5 linked regions of the Xenopus tropicalis genome follow. The protein of the gene in region 3 interacts with the protein of the main gene of each other region in a biochemical or structural test. Links are inferred from orthologs where the notes say so. Each region holds a gene or a part of one and is shown on either strand. Other genes may lie near its edges.

Region 1 (4,233 bases), on a different chromosome or scaffold from region 3:
ATCAGAAGCCATTTTCCCAGGAGCCTCCTCTTCCTGCTGCTGTGGGGCCTATGAGATAAGCCGCACTGTGATTGTGGCTGGACACTTGCCTCACTGGGCAGGAATGTGGCGCAGTTGTTGGTGTGTGAGTGTTTAGGTGCCTATCAGTTTACTAGTGCCGCAGTGTGTTTGGCTCTGGGTGTGTGTGTGGGCAAGCCAAGGGGGGAGAGTAAGGCTAGGGGAGCCCAGGACAAAATATTCTGTGTGGGTCCAATTAGGTATAATACAACCTGAAGCCCTTCAGCTCTTACTGCAAGTTCCAGCCTCCCCCCTATAAACATGTTGCAATAGCTAGAGTTGGAGGCTGGCCAGATAGAAAGTGCTACTGACACATGGGGGCAAACTATGCCAGCGTCACTATTTCAGCCCAGTGGTAACGCAACTCTACAAAGGCAGGAAAGGGCAGCCATGAATGAGAGTGACAGGGGGCACTGATGTACAGACGCAGGGCTGGGGCACTGCCAGCAACAGTCACGGGACATATAGGGCAATAATTGGCACCATCATTTACATGTAAGCTGGATAGGGAGTTGGGCACCGAGGCAAGGGGCATTGGCTTAGTCAGAAAGAGGCACAGTTTGGCACAAATAATGAGAGATGGGCATATTAAGCTGGCAGGCATTAATAGCATAGTGAGAGTTGGGCATGAAATCCCAAGGGAACTGAGGTAGTAGCTTTGGCACTGCCAGAGAGACACATTATTATGGCACAATGAGGTGAGGGCACAGTGAGAGGTCTGAATAATAATAAGAGTGACAGGAATGCCAAGTTAGAGTTATACACAACAACATGGTAGGCTGGGATGCCGCCTTGAGATTTGGCATGCACACTAGAATGAGGTGGATAGAAATGCCACACAGAGCTGGGCAACATAATGAGCACTGGTTGGCACAAAATGACAGGCTTAACCATAATGAAGGTGGGTGCATTTCTTGGGTACTGAGGGAAATCTAGGCACTATAATAGGGGCAATAAGTGATGCCACAGTGAAAGCAGAACACTGAACTGGGCTACTTAGTAATGCCAAAGTAAAATGTGGGCACAGTATCGGGGTATTAGCCAGAAATGCCCTAGAAAAAGGTGGGCAGGGAGTTTATTGTACCAAAGTAGTGAGTAATGCCAGTATGAAAGCTGGGCACTGTAGCACTGCACTGGGAGGGTTAATACTGCCGGAGGGAAAGTTGGGCACTGCATACTTTGTAATTGTGCCCTGGACACTATTTTGGGCTAATGTCAGTGTGGAAGCTGGGCGCTATAGCAGGGTACAATGGTCAAATGCCCTACACAGAGCTGGACCATGGTTGTTATGCCACTGTGGAACTTGGCACTATCATAGAGTACTAAGTAGGAATGCCCTCAACTGGGCACTACATTAGTTAATATTAACAGTGCTGGGCACTATAGCAGGGTAGTTAGTAATGCCAGTAGGAAAGCAGGGCATAGTAGCAGGGCACTGGAATGCCATACCGTTAGGGGGCTAGTTAGTAGTCATTGTAAGATTGGTTACTGGTGAGGAATTCCCAGGAGAAGGAGAGGGGGGCACAGTCAGTTAATGCCTGTGTAGGACTTGGCATGATAGCAGGGTAGTTAGTAAAGCCAGTGGGCACCATAGCAGGGAGTTAGTAAAGCCAGTGGGCACCATAGCAGGGAGTTAGTAAAGCCAGTGGGCACCATAGCAGGGAGTAAGTAAAGCCAGTGGGCACCATAGCAGGGAGTTAGTAATGCCAGTGGGCACCATAGCAGGGAGTTAGTAAAGCCAGTGGGCACCATAGCAGGGAGTTAGTAAAGCCAGTGGGCACCATAGCAGGGAGTTAGTAATGCCAGTGGGCACCATAGCAGGGAGTTAGTAAAGCCAGTGGGCACCATAGCAGGGAGTTAGTAAAGCCAGTGGGCACCATAGCAGGGAGTTAGTAATGCCAGTGGGCACCATAGCAGGGAGTTAGTAAAGCCAGTGGGCACCATAGCAGGGAGTTAGTAAGCCAGTGGGCACCATAGCAGGGAGTTAGTAATGCCAGTGGGCACCATAGCAGGGAGTTAGTAAAGCCAGTGGGCACCATAGCAGGGAGTTAGTAAAGCCAGTGGGCACCATAGCAGGGAGTTAGTAATGCCAGTGGGCACCATAGCAGGGAGTTAGTAAAGCCAGTGGGCACCATAGCAGGGAGTTAGTAAAGCCAGTGGGCACCATAGCAGGGAGTTAGTAATGCCAGTGGGCACCATAGCAGGGAGTTAGTAATGCCAGTGGGCACCATAGCAGGGAGTTAGTAATGCCAGTGGGCACCATAGCAGGGAGTTAGTAATGCCAGTGGGCACCATAGCAGGGAGTTAGTAATGCCAGTGGGCACCATAGCAGGGAGTTAGTAATGCCAGTGGGCACCATAGCAGGGAGTTAGTAATGCCAGTGGGCACCATAGCAGGGAGTTAGCCCAGGAGAGAAGGAAGGTGGGCTCCGAGCAGGGTACTTACCCTTGATGCTGACCCCCAGCCCCCCCGCATCCTGCTTGAGCACCCTGACAGTCCGGCGCAGGTTAATGAGAGACTCCGGGACCCCCCCCGCCGGCTCCGCGCCGTTCAGCGCCTTCTCCTCCGCTGCCCCGGGCTCCGGCTCCGGGGTGAAAGTCACAGTCTCCTCTCCGAGCAGCAGCAGTACCCGCACCCAGCGCTCCCCGGGACAGCGCAGCTCCAGCAGCCCGCTCCGGTGAGCCGTGCCCGGGGAAGCCATGGCCAGAGTGCCCGGACAGGGATAGAGGGAGGGGAGGGAGGGGGAGTGAGAGCGCCTCCCCGGGCTGGGGCTGCACATGTGGGACCGCCCTGCCCAGTCCTGTGCCCACTAAGTGCCACTCTGCCTCCCCTCACTCAGTCCTGTGCCCACTAAGTGCCACTCTGCCTCCCCTCACTCAGTCCTGTGCCCACTAAGTGCCACTCTGCCTCCCCTCACCCAGTCCTGTGCCCACTAAGTGCCACTCTGCCTCCCCTCACCCAGTCCTGTGCCCACTAAGTGCCACTCTGCCTCCCCTCACCCAGTCCTGTGCCCACTAAGTGCCACTCTGCCTCCCCTCACCCAGTCCTGTGCCCACTAAGTGCCACTCTGCCTCCCCTCACCCAGTCCTGTGCCCACTAAGTGCCACTCTGCCTCCCCTCACCCAGTCCTGTGCCCACTAAGTGCCACTCTGCCTCCCCTCACTCAGTCCTGTGCCCACTAAGTGCCACTCTGCATCCCCTCACCCAGTCCTGTGCCCACTAAATGCCACTCTGCCTCCCCTCACCCAGTCCTGTGCCCACTAAATACATCCCGTCATACTGCCCGACATACGGTGCCAACCTGTGCCCTCCTGTACCTGCTGTATAATGTCAGTACTGCCCACTACTCCCTGCCTACCTCAACACTCTGCCCACTACTCCCTGCCTACCTCAACACTCTGCCCACTACTCCCTGCCTACCTCAATACTCTGCCCACTACTCCCTGCCTACCTCTATATTCTGCCCACTACTCCCTGCCTACTTCAATACTCTGCCCACTACTCCCTGCCTCTATATTCTGCCCACTACTCCCTGCCTACCTCAACACTCTGCCCACTACTCCTGCCTCTATATTCTGCCCACTACTCCCTGCCTACCTCTATATTCTGCCCACTACTCCCTGCCTACCTCTATATTCTGCCCACTACTCCCTGCCTCTAAATTCTGCCCACTACTCCCTGCCTACCTCTATATTCTGCCCACTACTCCTGCCTACCTCTATATTCTGCCCACTACTCCCTGCCTACCTCTATATTCTGCCCACTACTCCCTGCCTACCTCTATATTCTGCCCACTACTCCCTGCCTACTTCAATACTCTGCCCACTACTCCCTGCCTCTATATTCTGCCCACTACTCCCTGCCTACCTCAACACTCTGCCCACTACTCCCTGCCTCTATATTCTGCCCACTACTCCCTGCCTACCTCTATATTCTGCCCACTACTCCCTGCCTACCTCTATATTCTGCCCACTACTCCCTGCCTACCTCTATATTCTGCCCACTACTCCCTGCCTACCTCAATACTCTGCCCACTACTCCCTGCCTACCTCTATATTCTGCCCACTACTCCCTGCCTACCTCAATACTCTGCCCACTACTCCCTGCCTACCTCTATATTCTGCCCACTACTGCCTGCCTACCTCTATATTCTGCCCACTACTCCCTGCCTCTATA
Region 2 (3,512 bases), about 110 Mb from region 3:
CCTCCACACACTCTCCATTTACTGCAACGATGCGATCGTAGTCCTGCAGCTTGGCCTTCTCCGCTGGGCTCCCTGAGTCAATCTCCATAATAAAGTGACCTGTAACCAACATGGAAAATGGGGCCAGTTCATAAAGAGTTATTCTACTGTAAATTAGAAGGGTATTTGAAGTCACCGAGCAATACTATATCGTGAGTAATGTACCCCCTATTGTAAAATATAAGGATATTAGCAGTCACTGAGGGGTTCTGTGCCCATATAAAGGCACAAGGCTGCAGGCTGAGTTATACAGGGAACTCTGAGTATCACTCATGTATTATAAGGGATAATGTACCCCCTACTGTAAATGATAAGGATATTAGCAGTCACTGAGGGGTTCTGTGCCCATATAAAGGCACAAGGCTGCAGGCTGAGTTATACAGGGAACTCTGAGTATCACTCATGTATTATAAGAGATAATGTACCCCCTACTGTAAATGATAAGGATATTAGCAGTCACTGAGGGGTTCTGTGCCCCCCATATAAAGGCACAAGGCTGCAGGCTGAGTTATACAGGGAACTCTGAGTATCACTCATGTATTATAAGGGATAATGTACCCCCTACTGTAAATGATAAGGATATTAGCAGTCACTGAGAAGTTCCATGACCATATAAAGGCACAAGGCTGCAGGCATTGTGCTTTTATACAGGCCGTGGAACTCTGAGGTGGCTTCTAATATCCTCATATTTTACAAAAAAGGGATACATTATTTATTATAATACACAAGTTCCAGTGAGTCACGTGACAGAAGTGACATCACTAAGAATTGATGACATCCCCAAGCACCATTTATAAGGATATTTTACAACAGGAGGTGTGTGGATAATAACAGATCCAAACAAATCACTATTTTTTTTACCTTTACGGTTTTTTTCTTGCCGCAAATAAAACCCGTAGCCGTTAGTGTCCTTCTTCAGCTCCACGGTTCTTGGTTTAGAAGGCAGCAGCTCCACGTTGGCTTTGTCTGCGGTAATCGCCATCGTCTGACTCTTGAAGTACTCGTCGGTCGCCTTGTCTGAGACAAGGAACATGATTTTGCCCCCCGATTCCTTCAGCTGAAGGAAAGAATTGCTTTCAGTCAGATAATGTGAGTAAAGGATGAATTGGGTCAAATGTAGAAGGCATTATATTGTAGTCATTCAAAAGCTTGGGATTTGGTGCATTTACGTTACTATATAGCAGAAAATCACACCCCCCACTGCCAGTGAATATCACTCCCATTCCCACCCACTCGTACCATTTTGGCCAACTTGTCATGAGTGGAATCTTCTACATTTTTTCCATTCACTTCAATGATACGATCGTCGTCCTTGACGCCGGCTTTGGCTGCAATCCCATTGGGTACCAGCGCTGACAAGAATATTCCATTCTCACCTGAATGTGACAACATTTAGCATTAAACGCATAGTAAATTATTGGTTTTATCCATAAACACTTCTTTAGATAGTTCTGCTCTTTGTTTTTTATGTCTTGGTGCTGAAAGATCCTTCCAATCTCTTCCTACTTCATGATTGCCCAATTCAACCATCTAAAGGGGGTATTAGGTCTAACTTAATGTGACCCAGCTGGCCTTCTTGTAAACCATTTTCTGGCCCCCATCCAATTTGTCACTAAATGCCAGCCAACTCTACCCCCTCTCCGCCCCAACCCCTCTTCAAGAGGGTTATGGAGGACATCACTGGAAGATGCTATGGGACAGGCACAGGAAGGATGAAGGGGGCGAGTATGGAAGTAGAAGACAGACTCCTTAACAGGTCTGTCCTTGGATTCCGTGCAGTCATGGGGCCTACTAGTAGTAGATACACCATTTCTTATGAAAAAGGCTGGAGTCACCGTGTTTCCCATTGCCTTTAAACCACTATGCAATAGGAGGTCTATTACTCCTGGAGGAAAGAAGGTTTCATGATCAACGCAAGAACAATTCCCCAATGAACCAATGGTTTTTGAAGTAGTCTGTGGTATTTTTCTTCCCAAATAATCTTCTCCTAAAGAACTACTGCAACTCACTGCTCTGTGGGCTTCCCCTGTATAAACTGACCCCACCCCAATCCATCATGAACAGTGCTGCCAGAAGACTCATACACCTCTCCTCCCGCTCCCCAAGTGCCGCCTCTCTCTGCCAACCCCAGGACTGGTTACCTCTCATGTACAGGATTCAGTTCAAGATTCTTGTACCCACCTACAAAGCACTCACTGGTGCCGCACCGCTCTATTTAACCCCCCTAATCCCCAAGTGCACCCCCAGACATACCCTTCGCTTTACACCTCCTTCTCTCCTCCTCACTCATCACCTCCTCTCACTCTCGCACCCAGGACTTCTCACGTGCTGCACCCATCCTCTGGAACGCTCTTCCCCATCCCATTAGGCACTGCCAGACTCTCCAAGCCTTTATGGTCTCTTAAAACTCACCTTTTCACTCCTATAACCTAAACCCCCAAATACGATTACCCCACTGAGCCCCCCTAATCTTCCCTCAAACACTCAGGAACCACTGGTTTCCACCTCCGCACTTACTGTCACTTTACACACCTACACGAACTCCAACGCCATGCTAGTTACCCTGACCTTATGTCTTAGCCCCCCCTTTTAGAATGTAAGCTCTTGCGAGCAGGGCCCTCCCCCTAGTGCCTCCGATCCTCATCCAATGTAACTGCAACCCATTTCTGTGAATTGTTTATATGTACATGTTAACTGTTCTATATTTTGTACCCCTCTATTCTTTAAAGCGCTGCGTATATTGATGGATACTATATCGTGTTATAGACACAAAAAGGCAAGACTGGCACACCTATTAGGATTAAAATATAACTTTTACTTCTTGGTATTAAAATACTTAAAATAGATAGAAAGAAAAAGAAAAGAAATTTTAAAATGTACACTATCACACATTGAATCTGTTGCAGTTCTAGCTCTTTCACTCCTAGAAATTGTTACTTAATAAGGTATCTTTAGTGTCGTAATTGTTTAGTTACATTTGTAACAATTCTATAATTGGTCTGCACAGAAGTATCCTGTATGGCTTCTAAAGGAAAGTCGTGGCTTTATATCCAGGTAAGTAAACTAATCTCAACCTTTATAATTCGCAGTTTTATTACCCAGGTAAGTTTTTGATCTGCACAGAGCGCTTTGTGAAGTTTACAGAAAAACTCGTGATTAAATAACTTCGGTAAGTATTAGTAGGAGGAAATTCCTTACAGAGAGTTGAAAATAGTCTCACCATCCGTGTAATAAATTTATTCCACAGTCATGTGTTGTGTCTTTATTTAATCCACATTTACTTTATACTGAGGATCAATTGGAGTGTTCACTGTATAAGCTGGTAAGTATCATTGTGGTACTCATTACGCAGGAGCAGTGAATCACCTGGCTAAATGCCCAGTACTCCACCAAATAATGCAATATTTCTGAATAGCGTTCGAATAACAAGTTATCAGAAAATTCCCTATCTCAGGGCGCTTGAAAAATTCACT
Region 3 (4,061 bases):
GACAATTATATAGATATGTTAAGTTATGTATTTCCATATGGAGACAGAAATGGAGAAGAGAAAAGATGATCAATAAAGGGCAAGTGAACTTTTAATTTACAACTGTACTATTATGCTAATATTAATAACAGTATTGAAAATTATATTACTGTTTTCTTCTGAGCACAGCTGTAGTCAAAACACTCCACATGTACAGTTTATTTGCATTATATATTTATACCATTTTACAGTGTATATACACTGTAAGTGCACACACAACTATGAAATATTGAATAAATTATCTACTGAAAAGCTTTTAAATCCTGAAGTGAAATCCAAGGGCAGATACGGGAAAAATCGTAAGAGAAATTAGAGTCTCGTGCCAACCTTTGTTCTGTTACTGTATGTCAATGCATCACACGGCTGCTTGCCAACTTTACTCAAAACTTTGCACCTTCTTAGGATCACTGAAAAATCTAACCAAGGCATGTATTACCTCTGACTAATAATTTTGTATATAACTTATATTATTTTGGGAAGTCAAATTAAATAGCAGAAATTGGTGCAAAGATTGCAAACTGTAACTGAAATATACACAGAATTATATTACAATGGTACTAAACAGACTCTTAGTTACAGTTACCTTTTGTGTGGTTTGCATAAGTGTTAAAAAAAAAAAAACAATCAACCGGTAATAATGACCTCTAATGTAGTAAATATTCTGTTAAAGGGATTCTGTCATGATTTTAGGTATACTTTTTATTTCTAAATTACACTGTTTACATTACAAAAAATTCACTCTACCATTTAAAATTTTATTCTTGAACCAACAAATGTATTTTTTTTGTAGATGTAATATTGGTGTGTAGGCGCCATCTCATGAGGCTGATTGTGAGCTTTCAGAACGAGCCAGCGCTACACATTAAAACTTCTTTCAGGTAACCCATTGTTTCTCATGTTCAGTGTAACTGGAGGAGTCCCAAGCCGGACTTTGATTTTTTACTATTGAGTGCTATTCTACCACTTTTAGCAATACAGGTATCAGGGAGCTGCTATCTTGCTCCCTTCCCATTGTTCTGTTGATCGGCTGCTGGGGGAGAAAGGGAGGGGGGTGATGTAACTCCAACTTGCAGCGCAGCAATAAAGAGTGACTAAAGTATATCAGAGCACAGGTCACATGGCTGTGGTACCCTGAGAAAAGAAGGATATGGCTAGCCGCTAGACCCATGTGATATTTCAAAATAAAATTCTGCTGGAAAGGCTCTATTATCTGATTAACCTAGCAAGTGGCCCACACTGAGTTTCAGGGATGCTGAGGTTCCTTACAGGCAGTTTGTGCATACTTATTAAACACCCTGTAGCCAGAGGAGCTTCTTGTTATTTGTTGCTGTTTACAACAGCAGAAACGACGCAGGGGGGGGGGCTATATATGTACCACAAAGGTACCACAACTTCCTGGAAAGGAAGAACACTATGACCACAAAAGTCACCAGAGGGAAAGGGTCCCTGACTATTCTTTGGGAGTTAATGCAAGCAAGTTGAATGGCGCAGTATTCTGAAGTGAATAAATAATTTTATTTTCTGCACCTTCATATATATATATATCTTTATCAGACCCCTGCCAGGCACTTATTTCTTTGACATACTTTTCCTGCAGTTCCGGAGGTTCCCATAACACATGGTCCATAATGATTTGTAAATGTCTATGTTTTAATTCACACTAAAGCCCACAACATGTATATGACACTGGCAATAGTTCGTAGACCTATAGAACTTGGACTATGTATACAAATGAGTAAGAGGACAGTGTTATTACTGGTGGTACTTGGGGCAATGCAGGGCTGCCCAAACATCACAGAGCAAGCCCTCCAGATGAACAGCATTAGGGGACCTGCCAAGGGACATGTAGAGCTGTGGTTGTCATACACGGTATTCCAGGGGGGATCAAGAGCACACAATCAATTACCCCCCCACACCCCAGACTTCCCTAACTCATAATGAATACTGGGCCAATGAGGCCAATTTTAAAAAACATCTTGCCTTAATATACAGTTACATTTGAAACAAATGAATAAATCTGCAGTGTTCTTGGAGCTATAGCCCAAACTGCACAACTATTCATGTTGAATAGCGCTGCTCTGTGCCCCTCAAGTCTCAGTGCCCATTACTAGAGACCCTGCATTACATTCCTATTAAGGTACATGACATTGGCTCTACTACTATTCTATGTATCCGGGTGAAAGATGGTGGGGTGGGGGGGGAGCAGCAGACGCACATCAGTAAGTACCACATGGCACGGAGCCAAAGGCAGACATAAAGGCAATTAAAAGGTGAGAGAATGTGCAAAGGTTACTGAAGTAGTTCACGAAGGGCACGAAACAAAGTGCACCGAGCATGCAGGTCCTGACTGCTTATCTAATATTATATATAGTTCAAGTAACTAGCCACATGACAGACAGAGCGACATAAAGATCCCTGTGTGTGTGGCATTAGCAACAGGAAAGCAGCGCTTACCAGAAGAAGATCTTGGAGCAAAAGTTGGCATGCTGCGAGGGGTTCGCTTTACTTCCCTTTGGCACCGGCTGCATTCTCTTTGCTTCAGAGTATTCAGCTACACATGGGGGGAGCCGGGCACACAACCGAAACCACACACTCGATGACAGCCCCCCGCACGGTATGTCCCACCGCACACTTCCACTGCCCCAGCACTCAGCAACAGCAGCAGCGCACGGCTTTACCGCGTAGCTCCGCCTATCATCGTATGCTGGACATCTGATTGGCTGCTGGCTCTTTATTACCCCACATGCAGTCGAGCTGCTTCGCGTCAGAGGCGATTAAGTCGGAGGCGGGGCGGCCTTTGTTTAGATTAAGGTTGGTAGTCATGTGGGCCTGGGCGCAAGTTTGCACAGTTGCTGATTGTAGAAGGTGACTCTCCAGCTTACAACTGGGAGCAACAGAAAAATGGGTAGGTTGTATTCATACGTGGTTAGGCAGCACTTTTGTAATGAATGAGTGGAAATCAGAGTAACCTGTGTGCCATTAAAAGGGTGCCAGGCATTTCGGACTAGAAGACATTTGTGTGGGCTTCTAAACTCTATTGGGCAGTGGCAGGCTGGGAGATTAGTCGCACCGCAACATTGTTTCTGCGGGCATATAATGCCGTACCACCGGCAAGAATGTGAATTGCCAGTAGGGTGGCACACGTGTTGCTACAATTTCCCCAAGTTTCCTCTCAAGGAAACATTCTTGCCAGTGGAATGGCATTGGGGGGAGATTAGTCGCCTGTGGTAAGGAAGATTCATAGTGGTGCAACTAATCTCCCTGTGTGTCACTGCCCTAAAGGTGGCCATACATGGGCCGATTTCATCTGCTGATTTAAGTCCTTCATACCATTTTGGCAGCTTATCTGCCTGTAAATGGGCACTCCCAACAGGCCTCCCTAACAGATATCTGGTCTAGAATTGGGCAGATCTCGATTGAGTGGGTTTGATTTTCCTGTCGAATCGGGGATCACATCGGCTTCTTGATGCGCTCCAAAGGCACCTATGCCCGCCATTGGAATTTGATCATTTGTCTGATCGAATTAGCCTAATACTACCCTCCCTTTAGTATACTAATAAATATATGTTGGTATAGAGAGCTGCAAAGATTACTGTAAAGGGGCACCTCCCCAAATGCTGTTTATATATAAATACAGGCCTGGCTTGAATCTCTCGTGGGACATCTGACCAGAGTAAACGGAACCATTATAAGCAGGGCCGGAACTAGGGGTAGTCAGAAGAGGCAGCTGCCTAGGGCGCAACGATTGAGGGGTGCCAGGCAGCCTCTCCTGCCTACCCCTAGTTCTACTTTGTCATTGCCTCCACCGCTAATGCTTAGCGGTGGAGGCAATGACTGATCATCGCACTGCCCCCTGCACCTCCTCCTGTGCTTTGGCGCGCATGCGCCATTGGGGGGGCGGGGAGGTGGGCGGAGTTGGCTGACCGGGTTGCCTAGGGCACCCGGTCGGCTTGGCCCGCACCTGATTATAAGGAAGATTCTGTCAGACACCAACCTACAGGTCACACACCATTCAACTTCAA
Region 4 (4,287 bases), on a different chromosome or scaffold from region 3:
AACATGTTGCCCCAAGCCACTGGTTGGGGATCATTGGTCTAGATAAAGTGGGCATTACTCAGAAACATATGTCAGTTCTACTTGGAGGAGGAGGGGGGGGGTTCTGATTGGTACATAGGCTGGTAATTGATGCCAATCCAGGATAATGGCACAGCTCCACCACCACCAACACATAGGGTACTATATACCCTTCTCTATAGAAAGAATTAAATACCCAAGTCTAGGATTCATGCCAGGCAACTGAGGCACTCAGGTACCCAGCTGAAGCTGCCACACCAGACTGGAGCGGTGCCATGCCAGGGCTGTCTTTAGTGCTGGCAAGGCCCAGGGGCAAAAAGCTTGTTGAGCTGCAACTGACTTTGTATCTAGAATAGTTGTGCCGAGACAGCCGAGCCTCTGTTATAAAGTCCCTTCCTAGAAGCCTTTCCTGGAACTTATACCCTGTGGGGTCCCGATTACTCTCTGGCCCATAGTTTGCTTCCCACTAATGACAGCGGCATCCATCATCAGCTTGGCTGCCGTGTGTGGCCGATCCACTAAACGGAGAATAGCGTACCCCCAATTGTAAATTATAAGGATATTAAAAGTTAAAGAGATCCATATAAGGCAGGTGTCCCAAACCTTTTTTACCTGTGAGCCACATTCAAATGTAAAAAGACTTGGGGAGCAACACGAGCATGAAACCTGTTCCTAGGGGTGCCAAATAAGGGCTGTGATTGGCTATTTGGTAGCCCCTATATGGACTGGCAGCTTACAGGAGGCTCTGTTTGGCAGTACACCTGTTTTTTATGCCTCCAAAACTTGCCCCCAAGCCAGGAATTCAAAAATAAGCCCCTGTTTGAAGGCCACTGGGAGCAACATCCAAGGGGTTGGGGAGCAACAAGTTGCCCCTGAGCCACTGGTTGAGGATCACTGATATAAGGACATGAGGTCAATGGTTGTTGGCATTCCATGACCAGTCTAAAACCACAAGGCGTTCTATTGGTCATGGAACAAATGGTGACTTCTAATATCATATTATATAATAGTGGTACGGTTTTTATAGACACAGTGAGTCATATGACAAATTACATCATTAAAATTAAAGATAACTGATGACATCACTATGCACCACGTAGAAGAACCCATTTTACAGGAAATCATGGCTCTTTGATTATATCTTTATAATTTACAGTTTGATCACTCCCCTATGGGATCCTTATAAACGGTGCCTAGTGATGTCATCAGTTATAATCAGAGCTCAGTGATGTAATTTCTGTCACACAAATCACTAAAACTTGGATATTATAATAAAGTGCCCCCTGTTGTAAAATATGAGGATATTACAAGTCAGCCTTCAGCTCATGCTTTTATATAGTAAAGGAACTCCTCTGTGACTTATAATATCCTTATATTTTACAATAGGGGGGTACATTATTCACTATATATTATAAGGAACTCCTCTGTGACTTATAATATCCCTATATGTTCCAATAGGGGGTACATTATTCACTATATATTATAAGGAACCCCTCTGTGACTTATAAAATCCCTATATGTTACAATAGGGGGCACTTTATTCACTATATATTATAAGGAACCCCTCTGTGACTTATAAAATCCCTATATGTTACAATAGGGGGTACTTTATTCACTATATAAGGAACTCCTCTGTGACTTATAATATCCCTATATGTTACAATAGGGGGCACTTTATTCACTATATATTATAAGGAACCCCTCTGTGACTTATAAAATCCCTATATGTTACAATAGGGGGTACTTTATTCACTATATAAGGAACTCCTCTGTGACTTATAATATCCCTATATGTTCCAATAGGGGGTACATTATTCACTATATATTATAAGGAACCCCTCTGTGACTTATAAAATCCCTATATGTTACAATAGGGGGTACTTTATTCACCATATATTATAAGGAACCCCTCTGTGACTTATAATATCCCTATGTTACAATAGGGGGGACTTTATTCACTATATATTATAAGGAACCCCTCTGTGACTTATAATATCCCTATATGTTACAATAGGGGGTACTTTATTCACTATATATTATAAGGAACTCCTCAGGGGCTTATAAAATCCATATATGTTACAATAGGGGGTACTTTATTCACTATATATTATAAGGAACTCCTCAGGGACTTATAATATCCCTATATGTTACAATAGGGGGTACTTTAGTCACTATATATTATAAGGAACTCCTCTCTGACTTATAATATCCTTATATTTTACAATAGGGGGTACATTATCCACTATGCAAACACAAGTTCAGCATTAGAAACTCTAGCAAGAGCAGTATATACCCTGGCACTGCATGGCATCACTTAGCAGGGGTAGGATACTACGTATAAAGCCAGCAAACTGCCCCGACCCCCCCATACTGAAGGGGAAGCTATTATCAGCAGGACTCCAGTAGGCAAGTCATGTGACCAGGTGCAGTGGGCTCGCCAGGCTGCCCCCATAATTCGCTCTGAGCCGAGTACCTTGTTTTCTTCTTTAGGGGAGCTGGGGGCCACCTCCTCCTCTACTCCCTGTACCTCCAAGGTGAGTTTCTCAGTCGCTGCCCGGATTTTGCTCACCACCTGCTGGTGCCCGAGTTCCCTCACATCCTCCCCGCACACCCGGATGAGCCGGTCCCCTGCCCTCAGTCCTGCTTTCTCAGCTGCTGAGCCAGGCTCCACCAGCCTCACATACTGGCCCGGCCGGGTCTTCTCACTGTGCAGATGAAACCCGTAGCCCGAATCCCCCTTTTCCAACACGCACACCCGCTCCGAAGCCATATCGAGCCGCTACTCTGCGCCTGACTGAACTCAGGCTCTGCCAGCTTATAGATTATATAGCGAAAGGGAGGGCGCGGCGGTGACAAATATGAGAGATGTCCAATAAGAGGGCGGGGACAGTATTGCCGAGGGACGTGATTGGAGGAGAAAGTTCAGAGAGAGGCGCGCCTATTCCAATGAGCTTACGCGGGATTCGGGCCCTCAGAGTAAAGTTTAATCAGTGCCGCCGAGTCATGTGACCCGGGGAATATAATACGGCCCATAGGCACAGGTGGCATCTTTACATGTCTGCTGTCAGTGAAACCACTTTAATGGGTCATTTGACATCCAAGCAGCATCTATAAACCTGTACATAGACTGACCCAACTGAGTATGACAGAACATAGAGTATTATTGCAGCACCTCAGGCAGCAGGGTGGAGCTGTGCCAGTGAGGGGAGGGGTGGGGGGGTTGATGATGGCAGCAGTGTTTATAATAGTGAGCAATTAGTGCATTCAGCATGGGGACTTTGCACTGGAGATTAATGAGCAGCTTGAGGCATCCAAAGAATGTGAGAGGAGGGAGCAGTACAACTCCCCAGTACCCTGGCATGCACCTGCCCCTCGCCTCATACAGCTCCTCAGGCACTGCCCCTCACTGAGGCTACCATTATTGTGCTGTTTAGCTCAGTGTTATTTGCTCACCGGGGTGCCATTCTAGAGAGCTGTGCATGACACAATATATATGCTGAATTCGGAAGCGGCAGAGGTGCGCACTGGGACCCCAGGGGCCCACCAGAGAACCTAAGACCATGGGCCCATTCTCCAAAATATCCTCCTTTCTTCACAACCATTTTATTCTCCTAGTCTGTTTTATTTACATGCTAGCATCTATTCTTCCATCTATTCCTTCTCTTTCTTCCCATTCAGAAATAGGGAATGACCATGAAACAGGCCAAATGGTCAGGAGCAGGAAGGCCCACTGACCCCTGGGCCCAGCGGGAGTTTTCCTGGTATCATGGTTGGCTGGTCCAACACTGGGTGCCAGGGTCGGACTGGGCCGCCCTAGTGGGCCCAGTCCGACCTTTGCCGGCGCTCCCCCTACTGACTGTTCCTCCCCTGACGCGTTCAATTTATACGCGCTCGGGGAGGACGTCAGGCGGGGGGGTTAGGGGGGCCCCTGGGGGGGTTAGGGGACGCGGCTGGGGCACTTGCAGGGCCCCTGGGGCGGGAGCCCCGGTGGGCCCTGCACCCCCCAGTCCAACCCTGCTGGGTGTGCAGCACATGGGGTCCCCCTAGAACGCCCCTCGGTTAGAACCACACAAGTCAGGGTGCACTAGGAGAACCAGTGGGTTAACTATAGGGGAATCCCTCCCCCACCCAGCTGTGATGCCCTGTTCCCCATGAGTTTGGTTGGTGGTGGGTTCTGTGAATGATGGGGGAGCCAGGCATCCAGAGTAGCACCCCTGTAGCGAGCCCCATATTAAAGCCCACTTGTGGATCCCTTTTGCCTGTGTGAGC
Region 5 (4,204 bases), on a different chromosome or scaffold from region 3:
AGAGTTGGCTTGTTTTGCAGAGATACAAAAAGGATATTGGATATTTGTCTTCACAGTGATCACTGTGTGTCTGCTAACAGGCCCAATAAATGAAAACCTTTTTCAGATAAAATTGGACTTTTGTAGCCGATAATTTATTTGCAAGTGCTGGATCACTTTATTATATTATTGGTCCCTTCATTCCACCCCAAGACTATATATTCATGATTTGACCCAAACGGTCCAGAATTACCTTTCCTTCCCTCTGTGTTGATACTTATTGGAATAATTTCCCATGTTAACTGGAGCTTCATTTACATATATTCGGATTATAAAGTGCATGCCATTTTAAATTGAATACTTGAAAAAATATATAAAATATAAAGATTAGGGAGAGGGAGAACATAATATTTTAAATTATTTAGCATAATAACTATTCTTTAGGTAAAATGATACTTCCATGTCTAAGCAACACTGTTGCCATGGCTATATGACACTTTAGGGTCATAAGAGGCAACATTTTTCCAGTTAGACTTTTTTCTCACTAATATTTTCTATTTGACTAATAATTTGCCTGGAAGGTCAGTTTTGGATAGAGATTTTATTGGGTGGCAATCAATTTTTTTCAAATTTAAAATTGTACATGCTAGTGACCCTTTTGGAGGCTTAATAGGGCATCAGTAAATGCAGAATTGGGTGTAAGTCCAGCTCACCGTCACTTCTGCTTAGATCCACTTGCTTTCTAGTCTGTAAATATGTTTTTTTTTCCCCGTTTCTTTTAAATATCCAGCTTTTTTAAAACTATTTTTCCAGACCTCTGCCTATGTCCCTTTACTTACCATAGGTTCTTCGGTTTCTCTTTCAAACTGAACAAGTCGTACTCTCTTCTTTTCCTCTGTCCCTGAAGCTGCAGATCCATTTGTGTAAATCTCCTCTGTGTGAGAGCCGACACTGGTTTGATAGCCCTGTTGGGTACACTAGGTTTAGTACAAGCACAGATGAATTTACAAGTTTGCAATAATAGCTGAAAATAGCAAATTTCATCACACAGAGAATATATTAAGAACATTGCATCAATATTTCTGTCTAACATCATTCTGAAATGATGTAAAGCATTTGGTATAACTCATTACAGTTACCTTAAAACAAGAAAGGAGAGAGCAAAAGGGCTAGGTGACTACATGGAGAATAACAATATCTGTTGGGCTGGTGGGGGGCTGTTTCGGCCTCTATGTACTTGAAATGCCAGGGTCTATTTCAAATCCCAGTCTGGACCCTCAATAGCCATTCGCTTATGGAGTACAGGAGAAGATACACTCAGCCATTAACAGTGGCAAGCTATAAGAGTGACTTTTGGAACAGGTCCCCTTCCCCCTGCACCAGATGGAAGACCAGGGAGGGTAGTTACGCAACTGACTATGCCTGTAAACACTCATAAGCAGCTGAGCAGACATCTGTAAATTTTAGATCACCAAACGTAATTCTAAGCAACTTTCCAGTATACATTAAGTCAGCATTTTCAGTGGTTTTACAACATAGCAGAAACCAGCTGGAGACTAAATTCTACTACACCGTAGTCAGAACTGACAAACAGAAAGGGCTAAACTGATTTAGGTGGAAAGCAATATTTATAAATTTATCATTGACAATGTTGTATATTGGAATGTTGCTTACAATAATTTTTTTTCACTATATAAAGATATGAAGTTTTAGATTCCCTTTAAAATAAAGTTTTAAATCTTCAGAACTCGCACCCAGTGGTGTCTGCTCTACAGAATGGACAATTTCATAGGCGATTGGTGCAGGGCCACTTGTTTTGCAGCAGGGTTAGGGCAGTGGCACACGTGGAGATTAGTCGCCCGCGATAAATCTTCGCATCTACATGTCATCCGGTGGGATGGCATACATGCTTCCGTTTCCCGTAGTTTCTTTTAGAGGTAACTTCGGGAAACCAAAGCAACACGTATGCCATCCCACTGGTGATTTGCATTCTTGCGGGTGGGATGGTATGTCAAGATTAGTCGCCGGTGGTAACAAAGATTCATTTCGGAAACTAAACTCCATGTGTGCCACTGCCCTTGGGGTGAAGACCCATGGAGCTACTAGTAGCAGCTACTTGTTGGAGCTACTAAAACAGACAGTGTTCAGCATTTACTGATGACTGTCTCTAGGTGTGTTTTAGCAGAGGCTGTTCTCAGTATTGTCTATGGGAAGGTATTTTCTGGAGTTTAGTAGCAATGGAAAAGTAGCTGCTACTAGTAGCCCGGTGTGCCTTTACTCGCTTGTGATCTCTGTACTCTGCACATGTCCCTCCATTCAGCAGCCTATTATCTGTACCATGGCCTCGTTTTCGCTGATCCTCTATTTTCTTATCAGCTGACAAGTAGAAGAGCAAAGATCATCGCGCAGAGAAACCGCAATGCTAACCCCATACTCGCCGGTTCGCAAAAGGCTATAGTATGTTTAAATCACACAGAAAATGAATTCTAATATACTGCGATATAAATCTCCCAGGAAATGAGGGAGCTCGCAATATGAGACCTGCAGTTCGGTTACCTGATACTGACGGCATCAGAATGGTTTCCCTGTTTGTAGCTCTTACCTTGGCTGAGCCCCGGTTTTGCAGCAGGGTCTCCAGATACAGGTCTGACAGGGCAGTCCTCACACTGGAACTGTCACACAACGGGGTCTCTGCGCGCTCAAACTTCATTGACATCCTGAGACGAGGTATTCCGCCTTCCTAGGTGTTTCCACTGTATAAACCTGCACCGGTTTATACTATCGAACCCCTCTGCCTCTTCTCCTTTATCTCCCAAGGAATAGGCTGAGTCAGTGAACAGTGTCTAAGAGAGATAGAGGATTCAGACGCCTACCATGACGTATCAGGGGAGTCCTTACCGAATTTTTTTTTTTTTTTTTAATACTGTTTAGAAACCGCTGTCCACGTGTATTTCCAGCCTGATGTTTGGCTTTGCGCATTACAGATTTACTAAATATTCAGATAGGTTTAACATTCTTTTAATAACGCAACAAAACGAGCCGATGGTTGCGTTCCCTATGTCCTCAAAAAAATGTGTTCTCCCGAGTCACATGACCTGTGATGCTTGTCATATGAACAGGGAATCGCAAGAGGGGGAAGGAGGGGGTCGAGGTAGAGAAAAATAAGGGCCGGAAGGGGAGACGAATGTGTTAATATTGGTACTCGTAATTGTATGAAACAGCATGAGGTGTAGTTTTAATGCCAATACGACTAAATAACGCGTGAAAAATATACTCGTAGTCTTTATTTGGTGTCAATAAGGCACACTAATAGCGCGTTCTTTGAAAATATTGCTATTGCCCTTGAAACAGTGGTTGCCAAACTGAGTCTGAAATGGGGTTAGCCTGAAGGCAAGTTAAGAAGACATTTGGGTAAACTGCAGGTTTTCTCCTTGTAAGCCAATTCAAGGTGAGTTAGAGTGATTTGTAGTACCTCTGCTGGGTCTTCTAACCAGCCAATATGGTAGGGCAGAGGAGTGACAGTGGTGGGGTGATGAGGCCAGAGGGCATTATTTTAATGCAAGTAGGGGGTGAAACTGGGCGGCAGGGAGTAGGGCTGCCTCTATTGAATGTTGTGTGCTATGGCAGTGGGGCGCAGTAGGTGACATTGGGCCTGAGGCTATAATACAGCAGACCTTGGTTGGTTGGAATATGCTTCAATCGAGGTTGAACACTATGAGTTTCAGACTTCTAAAATCTGGACATGCAGTTTTAACCCATACAGCTCTTGTAAAGACAAGGACAGGTAGCAACCCTGGTAGGGAGGAGGAAAAGTTAGGGGCATTATAATATACTGCCAATACAATTGCTTCCGGCCTTAGCTGGTAACATACTGGCAGAGTGGCAGCCTTGTTGTGAGCTAAGAGTGACTCTGTCCAAATGTTGGGCTGTTAGGCCTCGAAGGGAGGGGGGGGGGGGGGGCTAGAATGATGAAATACGGTCAGATTTCTACGATTTGAATATCCTAAACAGTGTATGTGTGCACATAAGTTCTTATGGTATTTTCCCACAAGTATTTAAACCCCCACAAAAAAAATTGTGAATGGTCATATTAGTGTAGGGATCTCCAAAATTGGCCCCTAGGTTGGTTACCCCCAGGATAGACCCAAAGGGTGGGTGATACTGTAATAGTGCAACACCTTGGGTGGGTTGGCACCTAAATAGTTAATAGGTAATTAGCTTCCTT

The links.
Region 1: the proteins of abcc4 (region 3) and snta1 form a complex in vitro, tested with the Homo sapiens proteins (2 studies listed by BioGRID and IntAct, with this or other methods). The link is inferred for Xenopus tropicalis from reciprocal best matches to the Homo sapiens genes ABCC4 and SNTA1.
Region 2: the proteins of abcc4 (region 3) and pdzk1 form a complex in vitro, tested with the Homo sapiens proteins (2 studies listed by BioGRID and IntAct, with this or other methods). The link is inferred for Xenopus tropicalis from reciprocal best matches to the Homo sapiens genes ABCC4 and PDZK1.
Region 4: the proteins of abcc4 (region 3) and slc9a3r1 form a complex in vitro, tested with the Homo sapiens proteins (3 studies listed by BioGRID and IntAct, with this or other methods). The link is inferred for Xenopus tropicalis from reciprocal best matches to the Homo sapiens genes ABCC4 and NHERF1.
Region 5: the proteins of abcc4 (region 3) and mpp1 form a complex in vitro, tested with the Homo sapiens proteins (2 studies listed by BioGRID and IntAct, with this or other methods). The link is inferred for Xenopus tropicalis from reciprocal best matches to the Homo sapiens genes ABCC4 and MPP1.

Annotation. Positions count from the first base shown.
Region 1 is NC_030686.2:41,868,220-41,872,452, reverse strand, and holds the start of snta1 (alpha-1-syntrophin), read right to left. Parts: upstream 2,802-4,233; 5' UTR 2,759-2,801; coding exon 2,503-2,758; intron 1-2,502. UniProt on the Homo sapiens protein: Adapter protein that binds to and probably organizes the subcellular localization of a variety of membrane proteins. May link various receptors to the actin cytoskeleton and the extracellular matrix via the dystrophin glycoprotein complex.
Region 2 is NC_030678.2:8,067,090-8,070,601, reverse strand, and holds part of pdzk1 (Na(+)/H(+) exchange regulatory cofactor NHE-RF3), read right to left. Parts: intron 1,416-3,512; coding exon 1,279-1,415; intron 1,097-1,278; coding exon 901-1,096; intron 100-900; coding exon 1-99. UniProt on the Homo sapiens protein: A scaffold protein that connects plasma membrane proteins and regulatory components, regulating their surface expression in epithelial cells apical domains.
Region 3 is NC_030678.2:122,375,905-122,379,965, reverse strand, and holds the start of abcc4 (multidrug resistance-associated protein 4), read right to left. Parts: upstream 2,801-4,061; 5' UTR 2,568-2,800; coding exon 2,494-2,567; intron 1-2,493. UniProt on the Homo sapiens protein: ATP-dependent transporter of the ATP-binding cassette (ABC) family that actively extrudes physiological compounds and xenobiotics from cells.
Region 4 is NC_030686.2:43,958,972-43,963,258, reverse strand, and holds the start of slc9a3r1 (Na(+)/H(+) exchange regulatory cofactor NHE-RF1), read right to left. Parts: upstream 2,808-4,287; 5' UTR 2,789-2,807; coding exon 2,492-2,788; intron 1-2,491. UniProt on the Homo sapiens protein: Scaffold protein that connects plasma membrane proteins with members of the ezrin/moesin/radixin family and thereby helps to link them to the actin cytoskeleton and to regulate their surface expression. Necessary for recycling of internalized ADRB2.
Region 5 is NC_030680.2:40,899,032-40,903,235, reverse strand, and holds the start of mpp1 (55 kDa erythrocyte membrane protein), read right to left. Parts: upstream 2,806-4,204; 5' UTR 2,696-2,805; coding exon 2,582-2,695; intron 945-2,581; coding exon 819-944; intron 1-818. UniProt on the Homo sapiens protein: Essential regulator of neutrophil polarity. Regulates neutrophil polarization by regulating AKT1 phosphorylation through a mechanism that is independent of PIK3CG activity.